Linked DNA regions of Arabidopsis thaliana. The protein of the gene in region 3 interacts with the protein of the main gene of each other region in a pairwise test. Each region holds a gene or a part of one and is shown on either strand. Other genes may lie near its edges. The genes, in order: TCP2, AT2G37000 and PRR1.

The links.
Region 1: the proteins of PRR1 (region 3) and TCP2 interact in a two-hybrid assay, tested with the Arabidopsis thaliana proteins (one study listed by BioGRID).
Region 2: the proteins of PRR1 (region 3) and AT2G37000 interact in a two-hybrid assay, tested with the Arabidopsis thaliana proteins (one study listed by BioGRID).

Annotation. Positions count from the first base shown.
Region 1 is NC_003075.7:10,159,880-10,171,468, forward strand, and holds TCP2 (TEOSINTE BRANCHED 1, cycloidea and PCF transcription factor 2), read right to left. Parts: upstream 5,705-11,589; 5' UTR 5,564-5,704; intron 4,799-5,563; 5' UTR 4,431-4,798; coding exon 3,333-4,430; 3' UTR 3,043-3,332; downstream 1-3,042. Other genes in the region: AT4G18395 (uncharacterized protein), read left to right, coding at 9,596-9,955; AT4G18400 (uncharacterized protein), read right to left, coding at 10,145-10,228, 10,601-10,713, 11,216-11,342. UniProt on the Arabidopsis thaliana protein: Plays a pivotal role in the control of morphogenesis of shoot organs by negatively regulating the expression of boundary-specific genes such as CUC genes, probably through the induction of miRNA (e.g. miR164). Participates in ovule development.
Region 2 is NC_003071.7:15,538,326-15,548,351, reverse strand, and holds AT2G37000 (TCP family transcription factor), read right to left. Parts: upstream 8,107-10,026; 5' UTR 7,963-8,106; coding exon 7,396-7,962; 3' UTR 7,104-7,395; downstream 1-7,103. Other genes in the region: AT2G37020 (Translin family protein), read right to left, coding at 11-36, 172-216, 922-1,037, 1,114-1,210, 1,445-1,841; NAP12 (non-intrinsic ABC protein 12), read right to left, coding at 2,193-2,349, 2,437-2,570, 2,662-2,951, 3,054-3,202, 3,284-3,748, 3,834-4,136, 4,268-5,115, 5,192-5,265 and 6 more; SIGF (RNApolymerase sigma-subunit F), read left to right, coding at 8,336-8,423, 8,597-8,751, 8,858-8,955, 9,048-9,233, 9,328-9,583, 9,664-9,894.
Region 3 is NC_003070.9:11,541,222-11,551,702, forward strand, and holds PRR1 (pinoresinol reductase 1), read right to left. Parts: upstream 6,796-10,481; 5' UTR 6,733-6,795; coding exon 6,385-6,732; intron 6,096-6,384; coding exon 5,855-6,095; intron 5,745-5,854; coding exon 5,541-5,744; intron 5,412-5,540; coding exon 5,251-5,411; 3' UTR 4,939-5,250; downstream 1-4,938. Other genes in the region: AT1G32090 (early-responsive to dehydration stress protein (ERD4)), read right to left, coding at 1-122, 217-462, 542-882, 957-1,037, 1,118-1,237, 1,321-1,422, 1,502-1,637, 1,734-1,886 and 1 more. UniProt on the Arabidopsis thaliana protein: Reductase involved in lignan biosynthesis. Involved in secondary cell wall biosynthesis in fiber cells. Unlike conventional pinoresinol reductases that can reduce both pinoresinol and lariciresinol, PRR1 shows a strict substrate preference toward pinoresinol.

The DNA.
Region 1 (11,589 bases), on a different chromosome or scaffold from region 3:
TAAACTAAAACTACAGTATATTTTATAAAAAGAAAGCAAAAGTTTCGACGTATGTTATCTAATATTTACATATTAATCTACTCAACCTATTATCTACCATGTTAACTACATATGGAATTTGAACTCATTTTTGAACCAATGATTTTTTTGCAATTTATGTGTTGATCAAATCATTGAAAACCCAATGAAATGCAACTTGGTCTAAAACTAGCGACGTTGTTAAAATATGTATTGGTGGACTTGGACGCAAGCAATGTGTGTGCCTAAATTGTTTTAAAGATATTCTCAAAAAATTTAAAAAATTCCGCTTTACATTGATTACATATGCATATCACATGACAAGAAGTATTATATATGTTGATATGCTTAGTCTGTTTGAAAGATATTGGATACTTCAAGAAGAAAGAGCCCACTTGTTTACTTTCGGGCAGGCAAAAAGTTTGTGATTGGGATGAAATTATTGTACCCTTTTTGACAACAAAATTAATATGATTACTTACGGAAATTTTAGTGGACATTGAGTAATGATGATAATGTAGAATATATGTCACAATTGTCATTATTTAAGATCAAATAAATATTTTTTCCGTAATAATTCTGATGAAATCACTATTTCGCTCAGATACGTTCACACACCACTTTTTACCATAAAAATATAATTTACATAAAACAAAATGATATGCTTTTGTTATCTATGTGAGTTTAATCCTTGTAAATTTTTTTGTAAAAAAAGCGACATTTTAATTTGCATCAGAACGTGTTCGAGTTTTACTTTGTCCCTGCAATGATCAAATGATCTGGTGACGAGTGAAAGTTGTGATTATTAAGTAAGTATACAATTGTATTTTCAGTAAACAAAGATTAAGAACATGTGTAGCTCTAACCAAACTTAATTTTTTCGTTTCAGCTCAATGGGGACATTTTATGGTTCAAGCATTGCTTAAGCTTAGGGTTAGGCATTGCTTAACTCTCAAACAAAACAACCATTTATCGTTGCAAACGATTCATCTAATTTTCTTTGCTTTAACTTTAATAAACATACTAACATATACATAGCAACTTCTATTGTAAGAAAAGAAAGATAAACATTATCTTCCTCTCTTAATCAGCTTTATTATTATATTCATGAATAAATCTGATTGACGTAATTTAATCTATAACCAAAGAGACTTTTATTTTCGAAAAGAACAAAATCACGGACTTCTCATTGTGCATGTAAAGGCTTTGGAGGAAAAAAAGAAAGAAATGGATGGTTAAAGGCTTCCCGAACATTAAGGCTTTTTCCCCCAAAAGAAGTAAAGAACATATTATGTCGAATATATTATACACAAATGTAGAAAATGACCTCTCCACTCTTCAGAGCCTAAAGAAAAACTGTTTAATTAATTCAAAAATGAAGTAAAGTTTAACTAAAAGAAATAGTTTAGTTAAGATATCTGAATAAAAATATTGGTTAGATCTATGATCTATCAAACGGATCAGTACATGTACATCCTATATGAAGAACCTCCGATGCTTAATTTGTATCTAATTTTAGTTTGAATCATCAACTATCTATTTTTTGTATGTTTTTCACTTTTACTTTTTGTTTTTAAAAAGCCATGGTCTGTAATTTTATCCACCAGTTTGTGGTAAAAGTCTTGAGACTTGCTAATATGTAGACCGTAGACGTACAGTCACAGTTTGTTTCGAAAAATCTAAAGTTGGTTCTAATTGATTGACAATGTAAACTTATTAAGAATATTCCCTTTGGAGAAATAACTTTCTGAAAGAGAAGGTTCGGGATTATAAGGCCTTCTTCTTTCCGGCCCACTGGAGTCCAATCTTCGTCGAAAGAAACCGCAAGAGCAAAAAAAGTGAAGCAACTCTTTTAGAAAACAAAACTCATGTAAAAGAAAACTTCTAATGGGTCGATAAACCTTGAAACAAAGTCAATGTTCTAAGCCCAATATAAACTTAACCAGATAAAGAAAAGAAAAAATCATATACACAAGTGTTGATACAAACTTATATATTATGAATTCATAATTACTGTATATAGAAGTCAATATAAGTATAATAATAATAAAATATAAACTATATAAAATCAATAATATATTGCAATTGTTGAAAACAGTATCAATAAACATTTGCCAATTGCGATGTTACATAATTATATTCAAAAATTATATTTATTAAAAACCTACAAAATTATGTGTTTTCATAATAAAATGGTTATCTCCAAACACTTTTGTGTTATTTAAAATATTTTGTAATGTCTATTGTTTCTAATGTTTTAGGCCAATATAATATTGGGACTCCCAATCAAAGGTTTTTTAAGATATTATTATCTTTCTCACTTTTGGAAATTACTTGAAAGTACCTAAGCCTCAAACACACATGAATCACAAGTAAAACAACTTTACTCTAAATCCCAAAACCACACAAAAGTTGAAAGTTTTCTAATAAACAACTAAAAGAATGAATTTAATAATACTTTGTCTAGTACCCTAAAAGATGGGTTAGCCATGTGGGTGCAGAAGATCAAGTAGCCCATGAAAGAAAAAGTTAAAAAAACTTATAATAATATAAACAGATCATAAGAAATAAAATCATGAAAATTTGGGAATAGCCATTGTTGAAGACAACAGCTGTCAAATGAAGAAGATATATTCATAAGATAGATAGATTATAAAAACAATACATATGGAGAGAGATGATGCTAAGGAAGAAGGGAACCAAACATAGAGCACAACAGGAGACAATTCATTTTGATTTTCACTCTCTTCAATGCATAATGGCCTTACCCTCAATTTTTCAGTTTTGTCTATCAAAATTATTTATTTCCCTGATTATTATGTATATTTTCTTTCTTTCTATTTTTATTTACAAGTTTTTTTTTGTCTCTTCACTTAATTTCTGTATTTTTTATTTTTTTGGGAAAATTCTTAATTTCTGTATTTAATTCTTCTGAGTATTTGATTTGATTCAATCTAGTACCTTAAAAGGATCGCCCTATTGCCTTGACCTACCATTTGTTCATGAATACCAAGAAACAGTATCTTCGTACTATAAACAATTTACTAAAGAAAAAAAAAATGCTAACTATACCAATTACATGGCAAAAATAACATTCAAAAATTCAATTATAAACTCACAAACAAAATGCTATTATCACAAATACAACATTACAAGCACAATGCAAAAAGATTTCCAAAGACCCTCAATACATAAAACAAAACCCTAACACACATCAGACAACGAAAGAGATTAACATTTGTTTTGAAATAAACCAAAGATAAACATACAAAATGAGCATTTGAACAAAACCAAAGATGCAATAATTAATATCATCAGTTCTTGCCTTTACCCTTATGTTCTGATGAGTTTCTGCATCCATTTTCATAGTAAAGCTGAAACTGGTGATTGTGGTGGTGATTCTCTGCAGGCAGTGCACCGAATAAGAACTGTGGACCTCCTCCACTTTCTGATGTTGGAAACCTCTGTAGATTAGCGAGGAATGACTGATGCTGATTTGTTGAATTGGACTGAAGGGTCCCCCTGTTGAAACCACTGAAGCCACCACCTGATGCGGCGGAGACGGCAGCTCCGGCGCCGGAGGGTGTTGACATATTAAAATCAAGATTGAATGCTCCGCCGTTGGATTCTGCCGGTGATATCAAATGGTCGGGAACGAATGAAAACTCTTGATGCTGATGATGAGGATGATGATGATGATGATCGGAGATTGATGAGAAAGGATGAGAATTTGTTGAAATAGGGAAATGGGTTTGTTGACCCGACCCGAGAATTAAACCCGAACTGAAATACTCCATTGGAGATGAAGAAGGAGCTGAAGCCATCCATTGCCGGTTTGAGTTAACCGGATCTGAACCGGAATTTAACAAATCCGTAAACGAAGTGTGGTTATGATCTCTTTCCTTGGTCTCTTTAGCTGTTCTCTCTCTAGCCCTCTCTCTAGCTTTATCTCTAAGCTCCGATCTTGATAAAGACAAACCAGAAGAGTTCTTGCTCGTGTCTGAATTGCTACTACAAGCAGATTTAGACAAGGAATTAGCAGCAACTGTTGTTAATGTCTGATTCTGGTGATTCTCGTCATCGGTCGGAAAATGAGTGTTGTTGAGTGAAGGAAGCTCAGAGATTGAATCTTCAGCAGCTTTGATTAACCATTCAACAGCTTTGCTAGGTTGATCATAACCTAACCGATCTTGAAGATCATAGAATTGAAGAGCGGTGGAGACTGATAACCGGACACGACGGTCACGTGGTCCTTTAGAAGTCAAGACTTTGCTGTGTCGATCTTTACCACCGGAAGCTCGTGAAACCCTAATTATCCGGGAAGAATTGTGATGCCACCGGCTTAACCGGTTGTTCACTTCGTTATCCACAACGTCGCCATTGTTGTTATTCTTCATTAGATCTCCAATCATTTCATCATCACCAATAATCTCATCACTAAAGAAAAAAAATTAGGGTTTTGTTTTTTTTTGGTTACCCCCAAAATTAAAAATCAAAACTTTAGGGTTGGTTTGGGATTTAAAGAAGGAGAAAAAAATGGGTTTTTGTTTTTGTTTTGTTTACCCACTGTACTTTGTAAGCATTGATGATGAATACCCTCAGAGGAAAAACCAAAAGAAGAAAAAAAATGTGTTTTTTTTTAAAATTAATTTAGGGTTTTTGATATTTCACCATCAAAGTCAGTAGATACAGCTTCGTATAAGCTTTGTCTGCAGCTGCTGTTGTTTGTTGCAGAGAGTCATCAAAAGCACTGTGTCTGAAATGATTTTTAACCACAAGCCTGCAATAACAAAAACAAAGAAACAATCTCATAAGAACAAATCTTTACACATATATATATACATAAATGCTTATATATATATATATATATGTTACATCCTTATCGACTTTTTCTACAGATGACTTTCATTCATATATACACATAATTAAGATATCAGTTATTCTGATTCGAATTTATGCTCTACTCATTGTAGATCTGACATATCACAACAATTGATAAAACGGGTTTAAAGTTAATGATCGTGATTAAAGAAGAAGGAGCTAGAAGAAGAATCAGAAGCTATGATAAATAATTAAGCTGAATCAACTGCTTTCGGCTGAAGCGATTATCAATGGAGGGCTTTAAAGAGTAAGAAGACAAAAAATGCAGAAATCGAGTTTTAAGCTTTTCTTCTCTATATAAAGATTTTGGTGTTTCTAATTATGAAAGAAAAAGAGTTGTTTCATAGTAACCAACAAGAAGATTAAATCAATTTAAAAATTCTTAAAAAGGAATCATTATTGATGTGTTCTGGATTCTATGCAGATCACAGGTGTCAAGCTCTTGGCTTTGAGATTATATGAAACCAAAATTTTAAAGCAAATTAAAGGAACAAATACACTTCTTTCTACAGTGAAATTCTCATCAAGAAATAAAAATCTTAGATCTAGAATTGTTTTTTTGGAATCAGAATTAAGTATAAACACGAAATTCAGATTCTTTCTATGAAAAAGATTGGTTTTTGTTTGTTTCTCGGAAAATTCGATGAGATAAATTGAGACTTACAGAAGAAACAGAGGAGCTTGAGCTTGGAGTTAGTAGTAGTAGGTGACGAAGAAAGAGGGCTATAGGGTTTTAGGGATTTGTATATAAGAAATAAAAATCCGAGAAAATTGGAATTTCTTTGATGGTGATTTTAAAGGAGTGATCATCAGATGGGGAGAGAGATATTGGGCATAAACTTTGATTTTATTTCCATTTTTGCCCTTCATTACATTACTTATTCACGGAATTGCCACGGTCCTCTACAAAATATCTGTATTAAATTATCATCCTCAGTAATTTGATTTCAGGTGAGAAAAATTATTTGATATTTTCGTTTGTTTTTGGCAATAAAAACACAAGAAAATATTTAAAGAAGTTTTTTTTGGCAGCTATTATATCAAGAAGTTGTGAACATAAATGCTATAGAAATGTTAGAAACAAATCAATGCGTGAATATGAGAAATCATATTATCTCATGTCACATGTATATTTATGTAGGAGAGGAGAACAAACAAAAAAACAATTCACTTTGTCCAAGTGTCCTTAGGATTTTAGTTTGTTCATAGAAATAGAATTCGATTAATACTCAATAATCTACTCTATGATATGTTTCGATCATAAAAAATGCTACATGTTTTATGTTTTCAAAATAGGTTTGGTCTATCATTCTTTACATGTAAAGCTCATGGTTTTCCACCAATTCCTTCGGAACATAGATTTAGATAGATAAAAGATTCATACCGCAATATAAACATATCTCTCATTCTCAAGCTAGTTTTCCAAGTTTTTATCTACTTGCTTTAAAAAAGGAACTCTCGCGGTCTCGCCTACACTCTTAGTCTTTTTGTTCTCCGACATGATTAATATTGTATATTCAGAACATTTTGCAGAGTAAACTCGACCCTCTCTCTTGAGCATAAAGCTCGAATCCTTCCTCTGTTTTTTTATTATCTATTTGGTTTGAGGTCTTTTAATTTTAGATATGTGAGTAAATTATTTATATTTTGTTTATGTGTTTAAAGTTTGCTTATGTTAATGAAATTTTTTTATAAAAAAATGCTACATGGAAATATATATACTGTCCGTATCATAACAATGTTAATTGTTATTTACCAAAAAAATATCTTTATTACGATAAAAACTTATACTATGAATCTTAGAAATTAGAAAAATTGTAACTATTATGTGTGAATTTCAAAAATTAATCAAATGAAAAATATGTCGTCAACGACCTTTTTAACTAAATTATCGTATAGGTCTTAGTCAGCCATTGCTCGGGTTCAAATTTGAAAAGTTTGGGATTTTATATAGAACAAAAAAAATAAAAATTTTATATGAGAAAATGTCTAAATTTAGCAGTTTTTATGATATTTTTCTATTTTTAACCATAACATGTACTAGCCTAATAAAAATATAAAAACAAATTTTATTTTGGAGACAATGCAAAACAATTATCAAAGTAAGCACATAATCCAAGCAAATATCTAAAAATTAAACAAACTATTTTAAAGTAGAAATAACTAAATTTCCGGGATAATGATATTTAAGGAAGAATGAAAACTATTTTAAAACCTATACATTTCTTTTCCACCTAACAAATCATATTGATAAAGAAATCCAAACCCCTATTTTAATAACTTACACTATGTCAATCCCACATCACATCACTAGAACTTCATGGAAAAAACACGCACAATTTAATTCAAGAATTAGTACAAATCGTTTGCAATTTTAATAATCTAGTAGTATTTTTTTAGTCAAGTGGTATTACACCATACTCTATTAACTTTAATAAGTACAGATTAGTTATTAGTTAATGTGGTTTGTGGAATTCAATAACTGCGATTAAGAACAAATGACGAAAAAGGGAAAGAAGTAGAGCAAGTGGTTCACGACGGTCTCGAGAGCACGTGTCGCTGTCTTAACGGACACTTGCTCACTTCTCGATCACTGTTGCCTTTACCAGACCACTGCACGTGTCTGCTTCTTGGTCACCCAAATTTCTGCTTACTTATTTTCTCATGCTTATTTTTTTTTTAATTTTCTGCTTCTGCTCATCCAAGTCCTCTAAATGATTATTTTTTATTTTTTTGACAATCAGTCCTCTAAATGAATTTCAATCACTAAAATAGACAACAACGAAAAAAAACCACAACAAAAAACTAAAATTAAGAACCCTGATTCTTATATATATGTTGCTTGTTAATATCAACCTTATTAATTATAATTGGCCTTGGAGATTTCTATATTTTGTAGTTATACATTTCTTCTTTTCTCATCATAGTATTCATGTTACTTGTTTAGTTAGGAAAATAGTAGTTATGTTTATGTTCCTGAATAGTAGTCAATACTGAATATCAAGATTCAGAATACCCATGTATATGTTTGCTCGTAATGTAAGATTTGTAAATAACCAATCGTCAAATAACCAAATTATATACGGTCAGTAAAGTTTATATCTCTTTCAATAGTATCAGTCTATCACGTAGGCATATTATGAGTTTAAGTATTATGCGTTTAATGTGTTACATTCAAAAATTTAATTAGAGTATCCGTATTTTAAATATTTTAAAACCAAACTATCAAAAATAATTAGAAAATAAAAACAATGTATGGATCTGAATCTTTACTAGATTCGTATTGTAGTGCGTACTGTTTTGACCACAGTGAGTGATGTGATGTTATGATTTTATAAACAGCCTTTTTATTGCACATGTACTATTTTCTGGTCATTGCAACTATGTACTATTACTGCCTTGCACAAAAATAATATATCCATAGAATTTTTTTGTGTTGTTAAATCTAACTATTTGAAACACCAAAAATGGACGATGAAGTTAACAAATCGTATGCATTGTAATATTGTATAGGTTGGGTAAAATTATTCAATTTAAAGATGGGCTAACTGCGAGAGTCATGTATCATTTTTTTCTTTACAAACAAAAAAAGATAAAATCACTAATACAAATCGGAAGTTTTTCACCGATTTAATGAGTTAAATTATATTTTTATGTTTAAATTGGTTTTAGAGCAAAATAATTTTATACGAAGACTTGCGTTCACATGCTTCTCTTATTTTACTATTTCATACAGTTTTTATTTATTTATTTGTGGTATCTAGAAAACCAGAGTAAGTAAAATCAAACGAATTAAACAATTCAAACAACAAAATTGAAATATAATTTTTGTTTACTGTATAAACATAAGAAAAGAAAAGAAATCCGACACGAAATTATTTCTTAATCTATTGTGTCAAGTGTTTTGATTAAGAGAGTACATTAAAATACAAGTGAAGTTGATGTCCTTTTAAAATGGACCATTAATGAATCTAGTGGGGGCATGACTCATGATTAATTTTGTCTATTAAGCTTCTTACATGCTCTATATATGGAATAAACCCTAATTGTGATTTGAAATATAGGTCCACCTAGAGGTATATACCTTTCTATTATTAGATTAACTCTAATTAATTTATTATTACCCATTTCATGTAAATCAATTCAGACTAGTCTATGAACTAAACTTGGTTAATTTATCTCTCGTCAATCATCGAAGGACCACAACATACATACATATATTTGTTGCAACATCTAAATAATATATATAAATATATATGTTATAGCATATTATATAAATTATAGCATAGTCAAAGTGAGTTCAACGTCATGTTTCCATCAAGCCCCAAAACTATGATTAAAGCAGACGAAATAAAATGTGTTACCACCAAGGAACTTACAAAATTTATATGTAAAATTAATTTTCCAAAATAATAATTTGGACAATATTATATACTTTAGTTAAGGCCCAGTGTATACTTCACGGCCCATGTTAAGTTTCGGTTTATAACTTTGGTTTGTTTGGTTTAAATGTTCAGACTAGTTTCCTTTATATGTGGTTTAAAAGTGGAAAGTCTCCAAAAAATTGAAGGCCTTTCCGATAGTTCAGGCTAAATAGAAGGAATCACCGGTCGTCTAAAACAAGGGAAGATATTTAAACTCATCAGACTCTCCCACCATTTAAAGACTACTACGAATATGGAGACAAGGTTTCCAAATGTTGCAAAAATCACCCTACATCTTTATCTCCGACGACAATGATCAGAATAATCTCCAGTACACGAGCTTGAAAGACGTGATCTCAAGTTCCGATGGATTTGGTTCGTTGTTTTGTCACCCACAATACAGTGTTCCTTCACAAGATGGTTTTCTCTTGTCAGAGATGGATTCTTCTAACATCGCCATTAGCAACGAGCTCGTGAAAAGAGCAGCCTCGATGTATGTTCAATCTTCTATGATTGTCATTGCTCCTGACACGAATTGGTTCCAGAGATTCTGTTTGAAGGCTAAGCATCAGGCGGTTGCTGCGATTGATTGTCTTAGACCGGTTTGCCGGATTTTCGCTCGGTCTAGTTAAGAGATGTCTTTAGAAAGGGTGATTCTAATTCTTCTTAGTAATTGTGTAAATATTGTATATAATTTTAGATTATCAAATAAAATTTCTCAATCATTCAACAGTTTTTTTTTTACTTCACCTGAAGCATAAGAACTCATTTATGAACATCATACCTACGTAGATTAAGCATCACGCCCAAGTCTTTTCCTTTTAACGTTTCTTCTTAGCTCGTTTGGAAGAAGACCTCAACGTCTCTTTTCTCAGATCTTCCGTAGCTTTTGTGTCCAGGAACGGCTGCAAAATAAGAGCAAAATCTCAAACAAGTTAACACATGAAAAGCCGGGTTCATCAACTTTCACTGTTTAGGTTCCAAGTCTAACAATTTCAATCCCAACATCAAAGAACCCTTTGGATTTTATGCCCTTGGTAGTTCTTTGCGTTTAAGCTACTTCTTGGTCCGACCTCGTAGTCCATTATAAGAGTCTGATCCTTAGATTAATTCATTGGTTTCATGCTTTGATTTGTATATCTATAGAGTCGATAAGCAACTAATATGATATATAAATCAAGACTCTATTAAGATAGATAACAATGGGTTCATTCTACATCTAAATATTGCTACAAGTTCAAACAAACAATGAAGTAGATAGGAAATGGATTTCTAACCTCGTCCTTTCTCTTTTGGAGCTCCAGAAGCTCTCGGCAAAGAGCAAGACACTCAACGTGGTAAGCAGCAGCTAAATCCTTAATCAAAGCTTTCCTTTTGATGATCCCAATCACTTTCAAAAGAACCAATTCAAAGCATTTGGTTAGAGAAATCACACTGCAGAGATATTGAAAGAAGTAAAAATAGCAAGCTGGTGAATCATGATCAGAGCAAAAACATAAGTATGATCTTAAACATCAATGTTTCATCTTAAAGATAATCCTTCATAGCTATCTATACAGTTGCTTTAAGAATGCAGATTGAGAATCACTAAACTTCCATGAATCTTCTTCATTTGATTTTTTTATGAAACTAAGAAACAGAATCAATGTTCACAATCAGTTTTAACTATAATCTCTCACTCAGCAAAGTAAAGAGAAGCTCTTTCTCTACACTTAGTCAAATTAGTGATTATGCAGGACCAAGGATTTTCGATTAGAACTACAAAAAATGCGAGCTTTGGGTACGATTAAAAAGATCATTCTAATTGAAGGGAGATAATAGAAAAACCCAGAAAGCAAAACCCTAGAAATCAATTTGATGTTGCAGAAGAAAAGGGGAAAGTAAGATATTACTTCGACTAGGATCGAATGTAGCCGGAGGAGTAGACGTTTCCGGTGGGGGATGTTCGGGTTGGGATGAAGATTCCGGCGGAGAAGGAAGAGGAGGTTCCGGTGAAGTTCGCTTCTCTTCTTCCGCCATTGAAGAAGTTTCAAGAAATTTTTTTCCCACAGAGATTTTTATTTTATTAAAGTCAGCTGAAGTAAATACAAAATCTCCTTATTGCTATTTTCCACTGTGATTTATTTATTTCCGTTTTGTTAAAAAAGTTTTAAAAGCTCTTTATAATGTCATTTTATCAAATAGTGATACTATTATATTTTAATTTCTTTCATATAATTTATCATTGTTTATTTCGCTGAGGGAAAAAAAACTATAAAGTCGTTTA
Region 2 (10,026 bases), on a different chromosome or scaffold from region 3:
ATGATCTTACCAAATCGTTTGACATGAAACAAATTCCTGCAAAGTATTCAAAAAGCTGAAGATCAGAGAATATAAAAGCAATGTTGCGATTCATAAAATGCTCGTAAGGCATATTTGATCTATAGATATTGGCCTTCCAGAGCAAATATGGGTTCTTTCTCAGAAACTTACCAGTGAGATAATCTTCTGTCTCCAATCCAAACTCCAAACTGTTCACTGAAGTACAATGAAGTGGAATTAGAAGAGCCATAATGGCAGATGAATTGACCAACACCTTGTTCTGTTTATTTTACTCAAAGACAATTGATTTGACAAGATAACAAAACCCAGATTTGAAACAAAACGACACTTGGGCAAATATCTATTCTACACCAACGTAATGAAAAACCAACCTTCCAATTATCATCCATCCATCCTAAGGGAGAATAACTGAGTTCATGGGAAACGGCAACTAATAACTCTATTGAGGTGAAAAAATCAAATCTTAGCTAAATGGTTGACACTACAGTGGATAAAATGCAGACTGAAACAAAGCCTAAGGACAAAATCAATAACAACGAGCAAGAAAAGGTAGACTAATTAACATACTGATAAGAGAAGAAGACTAGTGGCAAACTGAATCTGATTATTGAGAAAAGTAGAAAACTCGTTCATTTAGTTTTTCCAACTGAGACAGGTCAGGCAAAAGGAGGGTCACAGGATAACACGTATAGTATGTTGGAGTCATGAACGGATTTCAAATTGATTGCCTACTGCCAGCTCAGTTGTTACCTATTGTGGGAAGGAAGTTTCTATACAAAAGTTTGTGAGAGAACTAGCAAAACAAAATAAGGTTTTATTTATAGTGCAACCACTAGGCCATGATATGTATTTCAGTATTTGGAAGTAAGGAAAATAGTAAATTGAGATCCAGAGACATACACCCAAGTTTTTCTTCAGCTTCGGTATGCACGAGAAGAGTTCCAGTTTCTAGCCAGTGCATAAAAGCAAGCTGGGAGACCACTGCCTGTGTTTCACTTCTCCAGTCTCCATGGTACCTACATTACAAAAACCTTTTAACAAAAAACCATTGCAAATAAAGAAAATCTAACTACACATAGCTTTCAAACTTACCTATAGTATTGTCCAGGACACTCCTCAAGAATTTCAGCAAGCCGACCATAATACTGCTTCAAATCAACGATTTTTTCCTTAGCTTTCTCGATAACCTCTGATCCATCAACAAAACGAGCAATCTATATTAGTAACAACCAAACACTTCCAATGAATTTCTTAAAAGAACAAAGGCTATGTGTAATTCAATATTCATTCTTTTCTCAACAAGTTCTTCATTTTTAGTTACTTCCCTTCATAGAGAACTTCATCACCAAGTTCTGAACCCATCAAGCCATTTCAAACATTTAGCTAAAAGATGCAATTTTTAACCTAAAGACTAATCATTTACCAGGAATAGGACGCGATTGATGAACGAGAAGAAGATTAGCTTGAATAAGCCTAGTAGCAGACTCAATCTCCATAACCACAGCACGAATCTGCTCTCTCAAAGCTGCAGATTCTTCCAATTGAACACGGAAACTCTCGAACTGCTTCTCAAGCGAATGAGACACCTGACCATCTCCTCCCGCCATAGGAATGTAGAAAGAAGAAAAGGAAGAAGTCGAACAGAAGGGAAAGGAAGATGAAGGAGACACCGAGTTTCTATGCCGGAGAGGATTGGAACGGCGAGGAGAAGCGTCGCCGGAACAGAGAGGAAGAAAATGGAGAATCGAAGAAGAAAAGGGCTTAGGGTTTATCAAACGAGACGCAGTGATGTGAACGTTTCGAAACGCCGAATTCATCATCGTGTCGTGTTTTTTAGTTACGCCGCTTCCCTATTCTCTTTCCGACATCATCTTAGTAACCAATTAAACCGGATCATATAAACCAAAGAATCGTAACTGAAAATAAACCGATTTCTTTGTATATCATTCTCTGTATGACTCTATCTTACCAAAACCGGTTACCATATAAAGAAAGAAAAAGCATGATGAATAATCACCATTATCTACAAATAAAAATTACAAAATTGGAATTCTAAAATCCCTTCTTCTCTAATTCTATAAACTACTTATATAACTCATTTAATATTTAACGTATGAAAAATAGAAGAATTTTACAAAATGTAAGCTTTTTAATCATGTGTAATTATTAGATTATTTCTTCTGGAATGTAACCATGCAGAAATAAGCTATGAATCGGCATATTAGTCCCATGAGAACGAGAACAATGAGACACAATATCCAATCACTAAGATCATATCCGTTTTGAGACAATGAACTGCATCTAGTCACCACCCACACTCCAGAGTACCTAACCCAAAAAAAAGAGTCCAAAATCAAATTTTCTGAATTAAGATTTGATTATGTGTTAGAAGAATTAAATCTTCAAACTTTCTACCTTTGAGCATTGGAAAGGACAAAGGCTTCGAGAGTCCATTTGGGGTAGCAAAAGCTTCCGAGATACTTAAGGACCATGCTTTCTTTATCTTGATTAGCGATAAGAGTCATAACAACGGGGACTAACACCGACAACTGCAAGAACATAACAGCAAATTCAGGTACCATATGGTTAGTGAAAATTTTGGTTCCTTCATATATGAATTATGAGAAAGTGAGGACAAACCAATTGTGCGGCGCTAGGACTGTACAATATGGCAAAAATGTAAGCCATGCCTGTTACACAGTAGACCAAGCATACTAGTACAATGTAGTTGTCTTCGAAACTAGATCTCGGGTTGTTGAAGAAGTAGAACATGGACAAGTACACTAAAGGTTTCATAATTGTGTTTAAATGGTCCATTGTGTCTTTAGCCATAAAATGTGCCAAACTGCTAATTCCAGCGGCACTTTCTCTCCAATATTGTAATTTATCTACAGAGAATGATCTCAATGCCGAGATCTTACACAAAAGAGCTACAAAAAAAGAAAGACATACAGAAAAGAGCTTAGTTAACGTTCCAAAAATCGCGAATACTAGTAAATGTAAATTAATATTTGTGTACGTAAGAAACTTACAGACAGCTATTATGGTGTATGTGTAGCCAAGTGTATCGATTGTCTCGTCGTTCACCTTCGCAAGAGTTCCTAAACAAGCTCCCGCAACTAATAATATTAGGAAATCTAACGCTTGTAGTCTTGCTTCTCTAAGCCGTTGTTTTCCAACCCTGAAATAGATAGACTAAAGTTTTAATGTACATATGAAATTAACCACAAAATTCCATCTATCAAATCTAGAAAAATCATACCTTCCAACAAAATATCTATATTGTCGACCTACGGTAGGAGTTACTCGATTAGAATTGTCATGAGAATTCGAGTAATTGTGTTGTAACTGATCTTTTGTAATCTCCACATTAGTTTTCACATCTTGCCATAGATCATTACTAAAAGAATTATGAGTGGAATCCTCTTGAGCTGATCCAGTTGACGAGGAAGGAAGTCCATCACAAAATTTCAACATATCGTGAGGCACAGGGTAACCATTGTGCAGCATCCATCTCACAGGAAGTTGTTCTATAGTTATATCACCATCTGGTTTCACAATGCCTTCAAGAATATCTATATAATGATCAGGAGGATTGACACGATCGGGAACCGTGATTCCGATATCAGCAAAATATTCTTCTATTTTTTTGACTGATCCATGGTACACGGTAAGACCACCTTTTGCTAGTATTATCATGTCATCGAACATTTTGTACATTGTATAACTAATAAGAGGAAAAAACCAATTATTAAGCAAAAAGTATTTCTTAACATAAAATTGTAACATAATTCATGGAGGAGATAACATACCTGGGTTGATGGACGACCATACAAATGTTAACACCTTCAAGTGCTTCACGTCGAAGTGCTCTAAGAAGTAATTGTGAAGATGCACTATCTAAACCTGTAGTGGGTTCATCTAATATCAATAGAGAAGGTTCCATGACCATTTCAACACCAACGTTCACACGTTTTCTTTGTCCTCCAGAGATTCCTCTTTTTTCTATCGTACCAACCAACGAGTCTCTTACATGTTGTAATCCTAAGCTTTCAATCACTCTTTCAATGATCAAAACTTTGTCTGCTTTTGACATATAAGCACTTAATCTGCATGTAAAGAAACATATATAAATAAATGATATGCAACATTTTTTTGAAGCATAAACACTATGTAATAAAAATGTATTTTTTTAAGAATTGGACTCTCAATCTCCTCTATGATATGAGAATAAATTTACCTGCATCTTGCGCTAAATCGAAGGTTCTCTTCGACGGTAAGATTGCCATGCACAACATCATCTTGTGGCACAAATCCAGTGATCTTCTTATACGAGTTTATAGAGTCATTTCTACCATTTATAAGGATTAGACCCGTCCTCGTACATCCAGTTGCTTTTCCTGCCAAGGCAGAAAGAAATGTAGTTTTTCCAGCTCCTGATGGACCCATGACCGCAGAAACACGACCTGGCATGATCTTTCCGGTGACAGATCTCAATATATGCTTATGTTTACCCTTCAATGTAAGAGTTAGATCCTTAAACGCGACTTCTATAACAGGTCTAGTCCTCATCTCAGTGTCAGTAGCCATTGAAATAACTCCCGAGAATGTCAAGTTCTTGTTGTTTTGTTCCATAGCTTTCTCCTTCTCAATCTGACCATATGCATACTTAAAAATCTGGCTTTGGGTATGTAGTTGTTTACCCTTTGGAGCTTGTGGCTTCTTCCCAGGTTTACTACCGGTTCCTACATTGAATCCTTCGTTGTTACTCGGGTTCTCCTCCATTGATTTCATCATCTTGGTTAAATTACTCGGTTCTTTTTTCTTGTCTTTTGACTTTCCCGATGCTTTAACTGGTGTGGCATCCTTTCTAGCAGATTTCATGCGAGAAAATGTTTGAGATAGTTGTGCAGACAATCCCATCTTTTGGTTCTTGGCAACACCTTTTGCGGTTTTCCACCTTTCTCGAGCTTGTGTTGTTTCTTTTGCATGTCTCGCTGCAGCTTCTCTCGACTTTGCTTGTCTTTTTTCTCGAGTGGCGAGAACTTGATCAGAACAGTTATAAACCATGATCATGAGAAGACTTAGTGATGCCTATATATACAATAACGAAAATATAATTTCCAACAAATTTTAAAGCAAAATGTATTCTAATTAACTAACAACTTACAATTAAGATCGCTCCATAGGCATGAATATTTTGGTTTGCGGTATTCGGATTGCATGTTGCGAGCTTAAAACATGCTAAAACGGTCACCAAAAAGAGAATTAATGAATGATAATGATATTATAAAACAATTCATTTTCTTAGGTTTTAGTGTTTTAGAAACTTACGTTTCTGTGACGTAGAACCTTGTCTGCAGTAATGTCTAAGTAATACATAAAAACATTAATTACATCCTTAATGATGAATATTTCATATATGAAACAAATTTTCAAAAAGTAACAAGAGTTGTGAGATAAAAGAATCAATACCCACTACTACAAGTGACTTTTCGAATCGTTGTTGGGCAATATGAACCTGGTGAACAAAACATATCACCACTACTCTCAGCATCAACCCAACTATCTGCAGAACCACATGTATGATTCAACTTTCCCGGAGGAATTTGGTAGTTATATCTGCAATGTAAAAACTCTTTAAATCATCCACTAATAAGATTTTTCATTAACTTACTCAATCTAGAAAGCTAACAACTTACGGCTCACAAAATCCTGTTGTTTTATTAAGCTTGGCAAGCGGGCAATATGCGCCTAACGGACACGCTTCGTTTACATAAATCAGAGAATAAACAACAATGAATATGTTAGATTAAAGTTTTAGTACTTATAATGTTGATATAACATATATGTATGTAAATGGATATCTTACGTATCATGCAAGCAAGACCTTGTGGACAAAAGAAACCCTCACAACAAGGTTGACATTTACGAGTTCTAGATGGAAGAATTTTTCCATTGTTGAGATCAAATCTTTTTTCATCATCTGCATTGCAACTCCATCCAGGCTCACATCCGGAAACCCATTTAGCTAAATTGCAGTTGATGTTAGGCTTTACATGAACCGTTGTTGCTTCATCTCTTCTAACAAAACTACTAAAGTAGAACTTTATCTCCGCAGCTGAACATAGTCTAAGTGTGAGGTCACCTGCATATCACAAGACCATTAAATCTCAATGTTCAAGTATTTGAATATAAAAACATAACCCTTTTTATGTTGTTTACCATCATTTTTCTTGACACAATTGCTTAAGAAGTCCAGATTTTTATCAAAATTAAATGCTTCATTCCAATCGCCCTTCCTGAATTATCAACAAACGATATGAGAAAAATGTAAAATTCAAACATGGGACTACATTAGCTGATTTTGAAAAGACTTACAAATTCTTGATGCAATAACCTAAATCTCGATCAACGTCAGCCTTTAAAACAGTCTTTAGATTCTGAAGTCGAGTATAGATAAGGTTTGTAACCGAAACAAGAGCTTTTGGGTTCCCTGTTTTGCTGTAATCATCTCCATCCAGAGATAGTGCAAATGACATAAAACTCAAGCCAAAAACAAAGAACAAGAAGATGTGTTGTGTCCAACAAACATCAACCCTAACTCTCATTGTTCTTATATCAAAAGTCTTGCCTTAAAATCAGAACCTTCCGAATCGAAATATCTGAACCCTCTGACCTAACAATAGAATAGATACATTGGAAGCTACCAATAGAAATATCCGTAGAGATGTCTTGTGTTTTTCTATCATGTCTTGAGAAAACCAATGAGTATATTCTTGAAAAATGGAGATGAAGGATTAAAAGAAAGCTAACGAGCTTGTTGTAGATTTTTTTTGTTCTCTTTTAGAAAATCTTGAAATGTTGACGTTGAGATCAAAAGTTGGAAAGTTGAAAAATGAGAGACTTGCGTGAAAGAAGAGAGTTGAGAAGGGTCATCATGGAAGGAGGTCCAGATTTCTAGCAAATGAAAAAAAAAATGGGTGAGAAAAATGATTGGTTTCTTAATTATAACTTATTTCCAAAAATAGAAATAACTATATTGGAGGAGCATGACAAATGATGATTCTTTGGATTTCATGAGAAATTTTTGTTTATTTAAATAGTGTTGCTTAATGATTTCAAGCATTACTAAAAAATCACAAATCAATAGTGAGAAAAACAATATAAACATTATAAACATATGGCATTATTTTTTAATCAATTTGTTTCCAAAACCAAATAATAAGATTATCAAACAATATTATTAGTTGTTTAGTGGCAAAATAACATTACCAAACTAAACAACATGATTTGACTAAATTATCCTTATCTGTTACCTCCTAAACTTTTAAAATCCTAATTTTAACACTCTAAATCAAAAGCCTAATTTTACTAATGGTGACGGCGTCTACGTTCCTCCTCCTCCGCGATCTCAACCTCAGATTCCGCCGTCGTGGTCATCGGCTCTAAAAGCATCGCTGTGAACGGCATATGACTGTAACCATTCACCGGATACTGAATTCCGATTGGCTGACAAAGATCCAACCTACAACTCGGCGATTGTGGCGTTTGCGTTTGCGTTTGCGGCGACGTCATCGACGACGACGACGAGGAATCGTCCGCCGCAACATCAACCCAATTCGAAATGAGCTTAGTCCCGTAGCCAGTGGCGGCAATAATCGACGGTTCAGCTTGACTAAGAAGCCATTCGATGGTTTCTCCTTCAGTTTTGTGACCGAGCTCACGCGTTAACTGGAAAATCCTAGCGGCGGCGAGAGCCGGCATCGTAACTCGACGGCTTCGTCCGTTAACCTTCGTGTGACGGTCTTTAGTCCTGGCGGAGATACATCCGCCGCCGCTCGAGGAGGATTTCGAAACACCGAACTGCGTTTGGGAACGCGATTCGGAAGCTATAGCGTTGAAGTTGGACTCATTTCTGCACACATTCTGAAAAATCATCTCCGAATTCGTCGATTTTGTAAACTAATTTCAGTGACGATGAACAAGGATTCACAGAGAGAATCTTAGGGTTACTAAAGGAGGGAGAAGAAGATGATTCGAATTAACTTTTGGATAATTTGGGCTTTTAAGCCCAATATAAGGCCCAACATGATCCACTCTGTAGGAAAAAAAAAAAGGGAGAGAGAACAAAATCTGACTTCCATGGCAACAAACAAGTTTTAATTTTTACAAAAAAAAAATTGGGAGTGTGTGTGTCGCCTTATCTGTTCGTCATGGCTCTGTAGAGTAGCCTCATGTTCTTATTCTTCTTCTTCCTTAGCCATTCGTGGAAGCAAAAACAGAGTCTTTTATTCTTTGGTGATTCTGTGAAATGGAAGCTACGAGGAACTTGGTTTCTTCATCTCCTTCGTTTCAGACAAAGACTCATCTCAAGAGCAGCTACTCTTCTCCTTCCTCTGGTACTTCTTATTCAGCTACTCTTCATATAGAAATATTGTGTCTTTGCTGGATTTGTCTCTGTTAGTTACTGGAATTTGAAGTTCATGGATTTCAATTTGAAATTAGTGTATGTATACGAGTTTGTGTTAGCATTTTCTGATTTGTTTTTGTTCGTTTGTTGGTATTTCTGTAGTAGTGATGCTTCATGATCAAACAACAACTCCTGTTGTTAACTCACGTCATCTCAATTCTCTATCTCGACATTTTCCTGCGTCGGTTCTCTCACAGGAGCCACGGGAAGAGTCTAGGCCTCTGTCACATGCGTTAAGAGACGATAGAACATCCCAGGTGTGTTTTATTAGCAGCAATATTGTCCTAAGAGATTGAATCAATCATAAAGTTGTCAACTTTCTAGTCCTCTTGTTTAATGCGATTGGGTTCCTTGCATTTTTAGTTGACTCTGGAGAGGAGGCAGTTTGATGAATTGGTTTCATCTCGAGAAGATGAGAAATTTGAACAGCAACTTCTTCACTCTACTGGTTTATGGAATTTGTAATGTCTCTTCCTCTCTTAAACCCACCAGTTTCAGTTTTCATACAACCTTTTGAGTTTTCTGAATGATGTAGCCTTTCTTTTGTTTGCAGATTAATATCTCCTTTAACATCTGAAACGAAATTGCCGGCAGTTGTGTCTCCTTTAGCTGATGCAGAGCTTTGTGATGTGGTTGCACTAGCTCAGAAGGCTTTATCAGCTTCAAAACAAGCTGCATTGTTAGTTGATGACACTGAAGCAAATCCATCTGACAACATCAAGGATTCTCTCTCCACTAGGTTGCTTTTTTTAACCTTGTTTGTGTATCTTATCAATCTGCTACTTGTGGGCTGTAATGTGAAAAGATTTGTATTTCTGGATGTTTGGTTTTAGCTCTTCTATGTCCTTACCGGAAAAGGGAAACATAGTAAGATCGAAGCGGCAGCTAGAGAGACGAGCAAAGAACAGACGGGCTCCAAAATCAAACGATGTGGACGATGAGGGTTATGTTCCTCAGAAAACTAGTGCGAAGAAAAAGTATAAACAAGGGGCTGATAATGATGATGCGCTTCAGCTCTTCTTGTGGGGACCTGAGACAAAACAACTTCTGACTGCTAAAGAAGAAGCTGAGCTGATATCACATATACAGGTTCATGCTTTCCTTATTCATGTGTCCTTGGACTTCCTTCTTGTCCCTGGTGCTAACTTCCATAATCTTTGATCTATCAGCATTTATTAAAGTTGGAGAAGGTAAAGACTAAACTTGAATCTCAAAACGGCTGCGAACCAACAATAGGCGAGTGGGCTGAAGCTATGGGGATAAGTTCCCCTGTCTTAAAATCTGATATCCACCGTGGGAGAAGCAGCCGGGAAAAGTTGATTACAGCAAACCTACGTCTGGTAGTCCATATAGCTAAACAATATCAGAATCGTGGACTCAACTTTCAGGACTTATTGCAGGTTAGCTTCAAATGAACCCATTGTTTTTGTGTAGGCACAAAAGGTTTCTTGTAAAAATATCTCGAGCTCTTCAGTATTTTTTGGTGTGGGATAGAGTGATCTAACTTGATGTCCATTTCTCTTGATGCTTCT
Region 3 (10,481 bases):
AAATCACGAGGGGCTTTAACCGGAGAATCTCACCTGCAATCCCAGCCCATCCGTCAACCATTATGTATGTGATAAAGAATGTAGCTTTCATCGGTATGGAGACCCCAATGGTTCGAGGAATCCTGCATAAACACAATAAACAAGAGCATTTAAGATATGAGTTTTAATTCAAAGTTAGAATCTTTAGACGGTTAATAGAAGTAAAAGGTGGTTTACTGAGATGGTGATTGGTGAAGGAAAGAGTGCAGCTGCTCAAACGCGGTTCCAGCAATGATACTTCCCAAGAACACATTAACTAACATGAAGTAATAGTACTTTGCTGCTGCTCTACGCTCAAGGGTTGATAAAGCGATGTATCCCTCAATCTTCGACATAATTAGCAGAACCGTAGGGAGAATCCACAAGAAAATTTTCAGCGCAAGACCGGGGAGGAAACCCTGTAAGAATGACTTGATGAAATCCCTGCAATAAATACCAAGGAGAGGGATCAATGGTCTAACATACCAAGAAGCAAAAAACCGAGATAGATGGAGAGACTTACAATCTAGTAACAGGTCTGAGGAAAGGTGCAACTCTGTCAAGACCTTCTAAATTGGCAAGAGATTGCACGAAGGCGATAGGAATCATGTAGAAAAAGACCAAGGCAAAGACTGAGACACCAATTACGAGTTTCCGGATGGTTAAAGAGATAAAAGGTATAGCAAGGTTTTGCCAATAGATATCACGAGGCTCTGGAGCACTACTCGTTAACCATAATGTCGGATTCTTGCTCTGCTGCGTCTGTGCACAAACAGCAGCACCCCATCGTGAATCAAACGACACAAATGCAACAGGAAGCATTAGCTTGGAGTCCTTGAGAACTTTTTGACGCTCCAAAGACATCTGTATCACCAAAGATGAAACGAGGTTTAAGTTTCTGTTTCAGCAGTAACTTAAAAAGCAAATGAATGGCTTACATTGTGGTCAAACTCCTTGATTTGTTGCTTGTAGTACTCAATGGAATCAACCCTCTTACCCCATAGACCAAGAAAACCTGTCTGAAAAAAGAAAATCCGCCCATCACAATCAACATCGTTTCATTTCAAAAAGCTAAACAAATGGCGTGGGAGAGACTAACTCTGCAAGTAGGCTGCTTATGCGGATTACGTTGATGCTTCAGCACATAATAGTCAAACCAACGTTGCAACTTCGCTCTTTGCTTCACCAGCTTTGCGTAAGTGTTCGCATTATAAACAGCCTGAAACAAGAATGTTGAATTCATCAATCACACACTAACGCATTCTACAACTAAAGTAAGTGATGAAGGACAAACAAAATTACTTGATGACAGAGGTAATGCTCAGGGTGATTCGTCTTAAAGAACTGATCAACGGTATCGGGAACCGAGTGACCAGGCATGTCAGGGACGTTTCTAACAACAACCTGCAAAAACAAACAGTAGTATATATAAACATAGATGCAACAATTATCCATGTTTGAAGTTTGCGGCTTTTTCACTCACAGTGAACTGTTCTGGACGCCTACGCTGTGAAGCTAAATACTGCAGACGCATAATAGCGACATTATTGTATTCTCTGTAGAGCATGAAACATGCCCAGAACGTGAAAATGTACTCTACTGCAATATGAAAGAAGAACCTAAACACACACACACACATACACAGAAATGTTAAACTTTAGCCAGTAAAACTCATTGATTAGTAAAGCATAATTTTAGTTCACAAGTAAGCTCACTTTGAAGATTTGGGCTGAACATTGGATATAGAGAGCTTATCGATATTGCTGACCACAAGTTCCTTCTTCAAGAAGAAAAGTGTTCCACTTGATACATTTACTGGAACAAGAACAACAAGCGCTAATACCATCACTGGTGCAAAGATCTTCAAGCTGCCAACAAACCAACAAATTATTCAGATTCTCACATAAATTTTTACAGTAACTTTCCCGGGGAAAAAAGAAAGATATCTAAAGAGTGACTTTTTCTCAGGAAACAAACACGAAACAGTGAACAGAAACGAAACTTCTATTGCTTTTGTCTTTGTGGAATACAGAGCAGACAAATCTGAAACTTAGCTGTACATTCTTTATATTGTTAAAATAAAGTACAATCATTCTCACGAGTAAAGATTCTTAAAACCGTGAAATTCGGGAATTTGTCACTCGTAAAAATTCGTTCTTGGAGATTACAATCAATCCCACAAAAAACCCACAAGAACAAGAACCAAAAAAACATAAATTTTCTCGAAAGTAACAATTTTTCTCTCGAGAACCATTAATCAAATCTTAGTGAAATAATTATGTAGGACAATAAAAATAAAGAGCAACTGTAATAATCAACATTTTTCTATCAATATTGAAAAAGTTTCGATTTTTTTGTTCTTTCATTTTCTCGAGATATTGACTTCTCAACAGATTTTACTAGCAAACAACTCAAACTCTCAAAAAGTTTCGTTTTTTATGTAAGACAAAACCAAATTCCGAGAAGAAGAAGATAAAATACTTACCCGAGAGTGTAAATCCTAAGGAAGATAGCAGAATCAAGACCAGCATGACGAATAATCTCTGATTCACTCATTTTCATAGCTTGAGGCATCCAATTAAGGAACGTGAAGTAAGTCTTGTAGTTGAGGTTTACGAATTTTCCGACGAGAGTTCTGTCGGAGCGCCGAGGACTGTTTCTTTCTCCGGTGAGATACCATTTGGGGAAGTAAACTCTGTCGTTGATGGGTTGGATTCTTAAGACAGCGAATGCTATAAGAAATAAGAAAGCACCGAAGAGGTTGATGAGAGCTGAGACTCCTATGTCTTGTAGAGTCGCCATTGTTGATAAACTCGAGAGAGAAAGAGAAGAGAGATGGGTTTTGATGGAGAGTGGCGTAAAGGAGAAAGAAAGAGAATGAAGAAAGTATCCAAACTCTAGGAGTTTCTAATATTTTTATTTTTGAGGTTTTTTTCCAATTGTTATATAAAAATATTATCCATTTCTATAAACAAATGATTTTTTCTTCACCTTACCAAAAAAATTAAAAAATCTTTCTACAGATTTTATGGTAAATTATTTTGATCTAATACTAAGATAGATGACATCCGAAAAGATAAAAAAAATTCATAATAGTTAAACATAAGTTACATAATAATGTTTGAAAATTATTTAAACTAAAACCCACAAATCATTGCATGTTTATCAATTGTAATGTATAATTATAACTAATTGACATAAGGTAATACCATATTATATATATAAAAAAATTATGGACAATATATTATATTGTATACAGCTAATTTTCATTTCCTCTTACTTATATTTTGGAAATATCTTTAAGACCCCTTGATATTTGTATTGTACTATTTCATATGTTTTTTTTTGGGTTGGAATTAGGTTTAGAGCCAAGAGATAAGAGAAACCCTCAACATTTGGTGTCAAAGTATCATGTTGTGTGGGCCGGATTTAAATTTGGTTAGATATCAAAATCTTTTTCTTTTGGGAAATAAATTTTGAATAATTCATTTGATGTTTTTTTGTTACGATTATATTCCTAAAGAGAGTATGAGAATTGAGAAATGCTCATTGCTTATTGTAGTGACCAACTATCAAAGTAGTAGCACGCGTGAAATCATCGAGTGATGGAGTAAATTTCGTTTTCTTTTGACTTCTTTTGGTATACTAGAAATTAAATAAGGTTTGATATATGGAGAAGCATCTTGTATTTGCCTTTTATGAGTTTCTGTATTAACTTTTCAAATAAAGGCAAAGTTTTCGGTTACCTAATCTAAATAATGGATAAATTATAACCAAATGACAAATCATGATAAAATTATATTCTTCGTATTAGGAGATGTACTTATAGTTTTTAGGTAGGACATGCATTTATTTTGGTCGAGGAAATCAAAAAGCTTTGCGGGAATAAAATATGGACTCGTTTTAGCTTTATTTAAAATATAGAAGAAAATTTTGACGAACAAGTTTTTGTCAACAAACGTTATACAATTCTATACGTTTGATCAGTCATACAATTTTTAGTCATTTCAGGAATAAAAATATTATGTACAGAGTCTATGATCTTGATAAATTTTAATATCGCTTTTGCTTAAGGTTTTGGGATTAGTAACATGTCTTGATGCGCTCATCCACGTTTATCTACTCGTTGGCAATAAACATTATGCTAACATTGCTTGTGTTGCCTTCTTATGACTTAAAAAAGTATTGTTTACATTCTATCCACAACAAAAATATTTGACTTTTACGTTTTAATTAACCACCGATTAGTTTGTACGAAATCGCGACTAAAAAAAAATATGTGACGTAGTAGTGGATAGTAAAATTATCTGTTTTCATTCGAACTCAAATTCGGGTTGATGATTTTTATAATTATATATGCAAGGATCATTATCAAACCATTTGATTTCATAATGTTTATGTGTCAATGATGGTAAATTGGAATTATTCGAGTTTGTAATAAACAATTGTAATATACTAACATCCGTCCTCGTGATTCATTGATGACACTCCAAAAGTCCCATATGCACATTATGCAATTATCAGCCTTTGTTTATCTTGTCTTATGCGCTGTCTTTTATTCCATCAAATTTTGTATAGTCTCGTGTGCGTTGTTGTCCACAAAAGAGAGCAATAGTTTATTATTACTTATCTTTTGGCGGCGATTACAATAATTTAGTACACAAGCTCAACTAATTGTTTGGTTTCAATTTATGCATATTCACATACACTTAGAAAGTTCCAATTCCAACTTGCAACCACATAGTTTAGCACTGGTATATAAATTAAAGACTGGGCTTACAAGTGGGTTTTATGGTTTTTTTGCTTTAAGAAACAAAAACTTGTGATCTTTCATATTTCTACTTTCCTACTGATTTTTTTTCTCATTTGTTAGTAGTCTTCTTTCATATCGATGCAATTCCATGGATATTTTGTTGTTGTTGTTGTTGTGTGTGTTTTTTGTTCTGATCTTAGTTACGAACCGAGATACAAGATTTCATCAAACCTCTCGAGCTTTGGACCTCCGTATTCTTCCATACTAGAAGTTACGAGGTAGGGTTCAATCAGTAGAGTTACCAACGCCTTACTCCTTGTGTTGTTGTTGTTCTTTTTATTGGTTGTTAAAAACCAAAGATAATATTTTTTCTTGCATGAAGAATATATTTTTAAATTTGCATATATAGCAGAACATGAATGAATATAAAACATCAAACTTTTGATATGTGTATTTAGTATAGATAAGACTTGGTCAAATCAGAGGAACATTCTTAAGTAATCATCCATGCGTTTGTACTTGACGTCAGGATAAAGACTAGAAGCTTCTTCGTCTTCTCCGACTTCGTGATCAGTGAGACATCCTTCATAGAAAATGTGATAGAAATGTCCTATCCCTGCTTGGTGTGGAATCTCCATTTCTACATACATGTAAAAGAAATCAAATAAAGTTGATGGGCTATATTTTTCAAATAGACCTAAAGCCTGGCCCATTAAGGATATGTTGCCGAACATAAAGTAGATTACGTTACACTATTGCTTGGACTTACGTTCAATGTTGGCGAGGAAGTCTTGTGCAGCAATATTTGTTTTCTCCAATTCTTTTCCGGTTAGCTTTTCCCAGATCTGAACTAATTCCAACTGCGTGAGAACGTTGTCGGGAGGTCTAATATTCACGGTTTTGTTTAATGTCCGTGGATCGTTTAACGTTTTCGCGGTGTATTTTGCGATATCATCTTCATCCGCAAACACCACTACAAATATAAAACGGTTTAAATTGATTGGTTTAGATGGGCTTGATCTAATTTAAAGTCTTAAAAGGTATATAACCACAAAGAGTTAAAAAAGAGTTTGAAAATTTTACCTTTTACATTTCCATCACCATAAATATTAACTTTTTCTTTCGGAGGAAGTAAAGTTACCATCTGAGACAAGTTTCCGGCGAAGTAGGCGGCAAAGCAAGCACCCACAACGTAAGTGTAAGGAATTCCGGCAGCCTCTATCGCCTGACGCACTTCCATTTTCTGGTCAAAGGTTTCTCTTCCGGGCGGTAGCGCATGTCCCATACGTGGTGGATCCATACCAAATTCAGATGGTAAAAACCGCTGAAATTATTAATCTTACGTATATCATTATAATTACAACAAGAAACAAAAAGTAATAATAATCAACAAGAGTATCAAGTTTCTTTGTATGCATGCAATATGGATCTTTTACCGTTGACGTTTTTTTTCTTATAAATGAAATGTAAATAGTAAAACAAAAATAAACTCTCCGGCTTTTTTAATTTTATTTTCGTGTGGTTTCTTTACTTATAAGATTTTTTTCAGATTAACCGCACAATTTTCTAAACCGATCAATCATAATTAAACTTTAATTTATAGTTTATTATACCTTTACGTTACCAGCCTCTTTGATAGCTTCGACGAGCTTGAGCTGGACTAGAATGTTATGGCTACGGAAGTGAACACCGGACATGGCGGAGACAACGACGTCAACAAGTTTCACGGCGGATACGAGGCTTTGATGGTCGGAGAAAGAACCTTCAACGATACGTGCGCCGAGTTTCTTGAAAGAAAGAAAGAGTTGGACTTTCTCGATTTCGAGACCAATCTCTGGCCTCTGCAAAACGTAAGTCTCGTGACCTTCAGCCAAACACGCCCTTACTATCCTCTTCCCTATGTATCCAGTCGCTCCAACCACCAAAACGCGCGTTTTCTCGGTGCGTTTGCTCTCTCCCATTTTTTGTTCTCTCTCTCTCTCTATAGATCAATGTTTTGGTTGAAAGAGCCTCTCTTGATTGTGTATATATATAATGAATCGAAACATATACATTTACATATATATGTGTACACCTAACCGATAATTGTATGCATTATAAGTAAAGATATCGACATTTGATATGATGCCTATGAAAGAAAATACGTATTTTCTATTAATACTTTTCTCACCATATCCTTTTTCAATGAATACTTATGACAAAATATACTCTTTGATTATTTTAAAGAATTTATATTAGGTAATCCACGATTAGTAAATAATATCTTAATTCCGAAAATAGTACATAATTGGATTGTAACACAAAAATAGAGATGTCTATATGAAAACAGATTAGTCAGTTCTTGGGTCTTTACCAGTGTGGAACCATAGTCTCTTAATAATTTGACTAACGTGTTCGTTTACTAATGTGTCTCACGACACCTGATGACTCCACTAGACCTTTCTGAAAGCGATTATTGTTCTAACTCGTGGTGACATGTTTTGGTGGGATCTTTCGCTAACACTTTAATTAGAGAATAGAGATTAATTTGGCCGTTTTAGTATACTTTGACAAAAATTAACTATTTCTGACATAACTATTGACTTTAGAAAAAACAATTCGCCAACTCTTCAATTGGAGTTTGAAAACATGTAACATGAGCAGATTTTTATCTCCATATATAATTAATCTATATTCTATACCAGTTAAAAAGCTTACGCATGTATTCATTTACAAACATGACATCATTTGTTTGAAATTCTATGTGTATATAGTCAATTTTTCAATGGTCACAAAGAATCCCCTAATCGGCCACAATTTTTTCTTTCTTTTTCGGCCATCATATTCACATAAAATTTGGTACAATATGTGTAATATAGATTAAAAATCTACAAATAGGTGTATTTTGTAAATCTCTAAATGCTCCGAAGTAAATAATTGTTTAAGTGGTGGCGTTATGACCCACACGCCGCACTCTTCTGAGCTATTCAACCTTATTGTGATGACTTACAAATGTCATCTGAGCTTTTTAGATTCTTTGCAATGGAATAATAATCCTTATTAGTAGACTAGTAGTTCACCTAATCTCGACATTTTTTAAAAAATAAAAATAAATGATCAAACGCCATATGAAAACAGAGCTTCTCTCTTTGTTTGCGTTTACTCCTCTTTTCACATAAATTAAGTAAAGTAACTTTTTATTTTATTTTTTAATTATTTTTTTATTAATTTAATAATATTAATTGTACTTTTCTCCTCTTTCTATTAGTAACAAACAAATATAATAATAATATAGATACAAAGTGGAACAAAAAGAAAACTACAACATCAAATTGTATAAAACATAATGATTTTCTGAAATTAAAAACACAAAAATTATGATATCTTTTGAAGGGTAATAATTTTGTAACATTTAAACATCAACTATCAAACGTTATTAATTTTATCATAAACAACAGGAAAAAAGATTGAAGACAATGAACAAATTAACCCTACGTCATGCAGTTTTCTATAGATTTTGTTTTTGTGTCAACCTCACAAACTAAATTAAAATATGTAAGGATGATTGGTTTCTCAAACTGGATTAGAATACAACATCAACAAACCTGATGCTAGATACCAAAATATTCATTTTAAAATTTATACGAAAGATTTCGAAGTAGACAAAAATTGTCTTAAAAATATTAAAAAGCTGGTCAATCGATAGGGAAATGCATATTCTTGACCAACTCTATAAGGTTCGTCACAAAATCTTGACTGCTCGAGAGAGTGTTCTCCACATAATATGAATGCAGACTACTAAATTACAAATTCCGATTAAATCAACACAAAAATAGATACGAATTTCTGGTGAAAGTTAATGTATAATAATGGCCAATATTATTTTAGAATCAAATGAAAATGTGAATGAGAAACAAAGGATTACGTGCCTTTTTCTCGAAGCGGGGCTGTGGACTAAAGAATTAGAAGATAATTGTGGGAGAAAACAAAAACAATTATGACAAATAGATAAGAGAAATTAATTATGGGGTTGGTGAGAGCACCGTGATTGGTTGTGGAAGATGCCACGTGTGAAGATTTGTGTTCTATCCTTAAAAAAAAAGAAATCATTCTTGTAATAATTAAAAAGTAGTTGAATTTGTGTTCTGTCCTTATAAAATTGGTTACAGTTTCAGTGTTTCGTCCAATATTCAAGGTACCGCTAGAGATTTGTTGGATGTTTGATTCACACCTACACTTGAATGGAGTAATTGGAGAAATTAGGAATGAGACTAAAACCATGGTTGTCTCAAACTATATGTTGGTCCATCTATATAAAGTATATCTATGAGATATAATAATTTTCAAAAAAGTTATAGGTCCATTTTTATGTATGTTATATTTTTTTAAAATCATAGACTCTAATTAATATCTATATATTTTTTTCAAAACCCCTATTTATATACACCATTTGTTTTTAAAACTGAAATCACTTAGGCCAACTCCAATGAAACTCTAAAACACCATTTTAGTGTAATTTTTGCACTAAAAGCTCTCCAATGGAACTCTAAAATTCACACCATTTTAGTGTAATGCTACAGTGTTACATCAAATTTGGTGTGATACTATTCACAACTCTAAACACTATTCACTTATTATATCAATAAAAATTCAATTAACAGATATAAAATTACAAATGATTAATAAATATAAAATATAAAAATGAATGTATACATTAATATATTATATCTTTTGAAATTGTTGATTTAATTATGATATTTTTATATTATTATGTATGAAAATACTTAAAATAGTTAAAAATTTATGTATTTTTAAATATATATTTCAATGTACTATTTTTATAATGTTATGTATTTCTATACTAATAATAAATATTAATCAAAACTATTAAATAATAAAAGAAATCTTTTAAATAAATAATATAATAGTAGATTATTCTTTTAGTGTGATTTTTGGTGTTATGGTTGGAGAGAACATAAGTTTTAGTGCTAAAAATAGTGTAATTTGAACACCAAAATGGTGTTTAGCCTTGGAGATGCCCTTATACATGATAAAAAGTAAAAACGCCCTTGGTTACAAATATCATATTACTCTACTTTGATCTTTAAAACAAAAAATCTTATTATAACATTTTTATATATCTTTGTATATGTTTTGACCTTGAAAATTTCTCTAAGTAATGAAAGATGTTTAATACTATATCCATTAATGCATGTTTCCACCGGATTAGGCAGTTGAATTTGTTGAATAATTTTTTAGTTGATTATTTCAAAATTTGCTATGTCAGTGTATTTGTTGGACGCCTTGAACCATCTTTAGCAAAAGTAATGTATTTGTTTTAAATCAACCGGTTTAAATTCATGCAAAAATAAAATTCTTTCACAAAGGCTAAAAATTTGACCAAGTCAGTGGTAGATAAAATAAAAAATAAGAAAAAAGTTTTTGATCTTCTCGAAAGCATGCACTTTTTGAATTAACAATGTAACTCAAATGTCAAAAGCCAAATCTTATGACTTTTTAACTTATAAAACATTAATAGTTTATGTATTGGAACATTCTGCATGACTGCATCTATGTGCCCCTAGTTTAATGAATCTAATTTAATGAATTACATCACTATACCCAATAATAATGTAAAATTTTTTCTCACATTTCAAAGCACTAGATCCCCAAAACTGACTGGGCCTTTAATGGGCTGTATTATGTGGATCTTTAATAAACTTAATCTTTA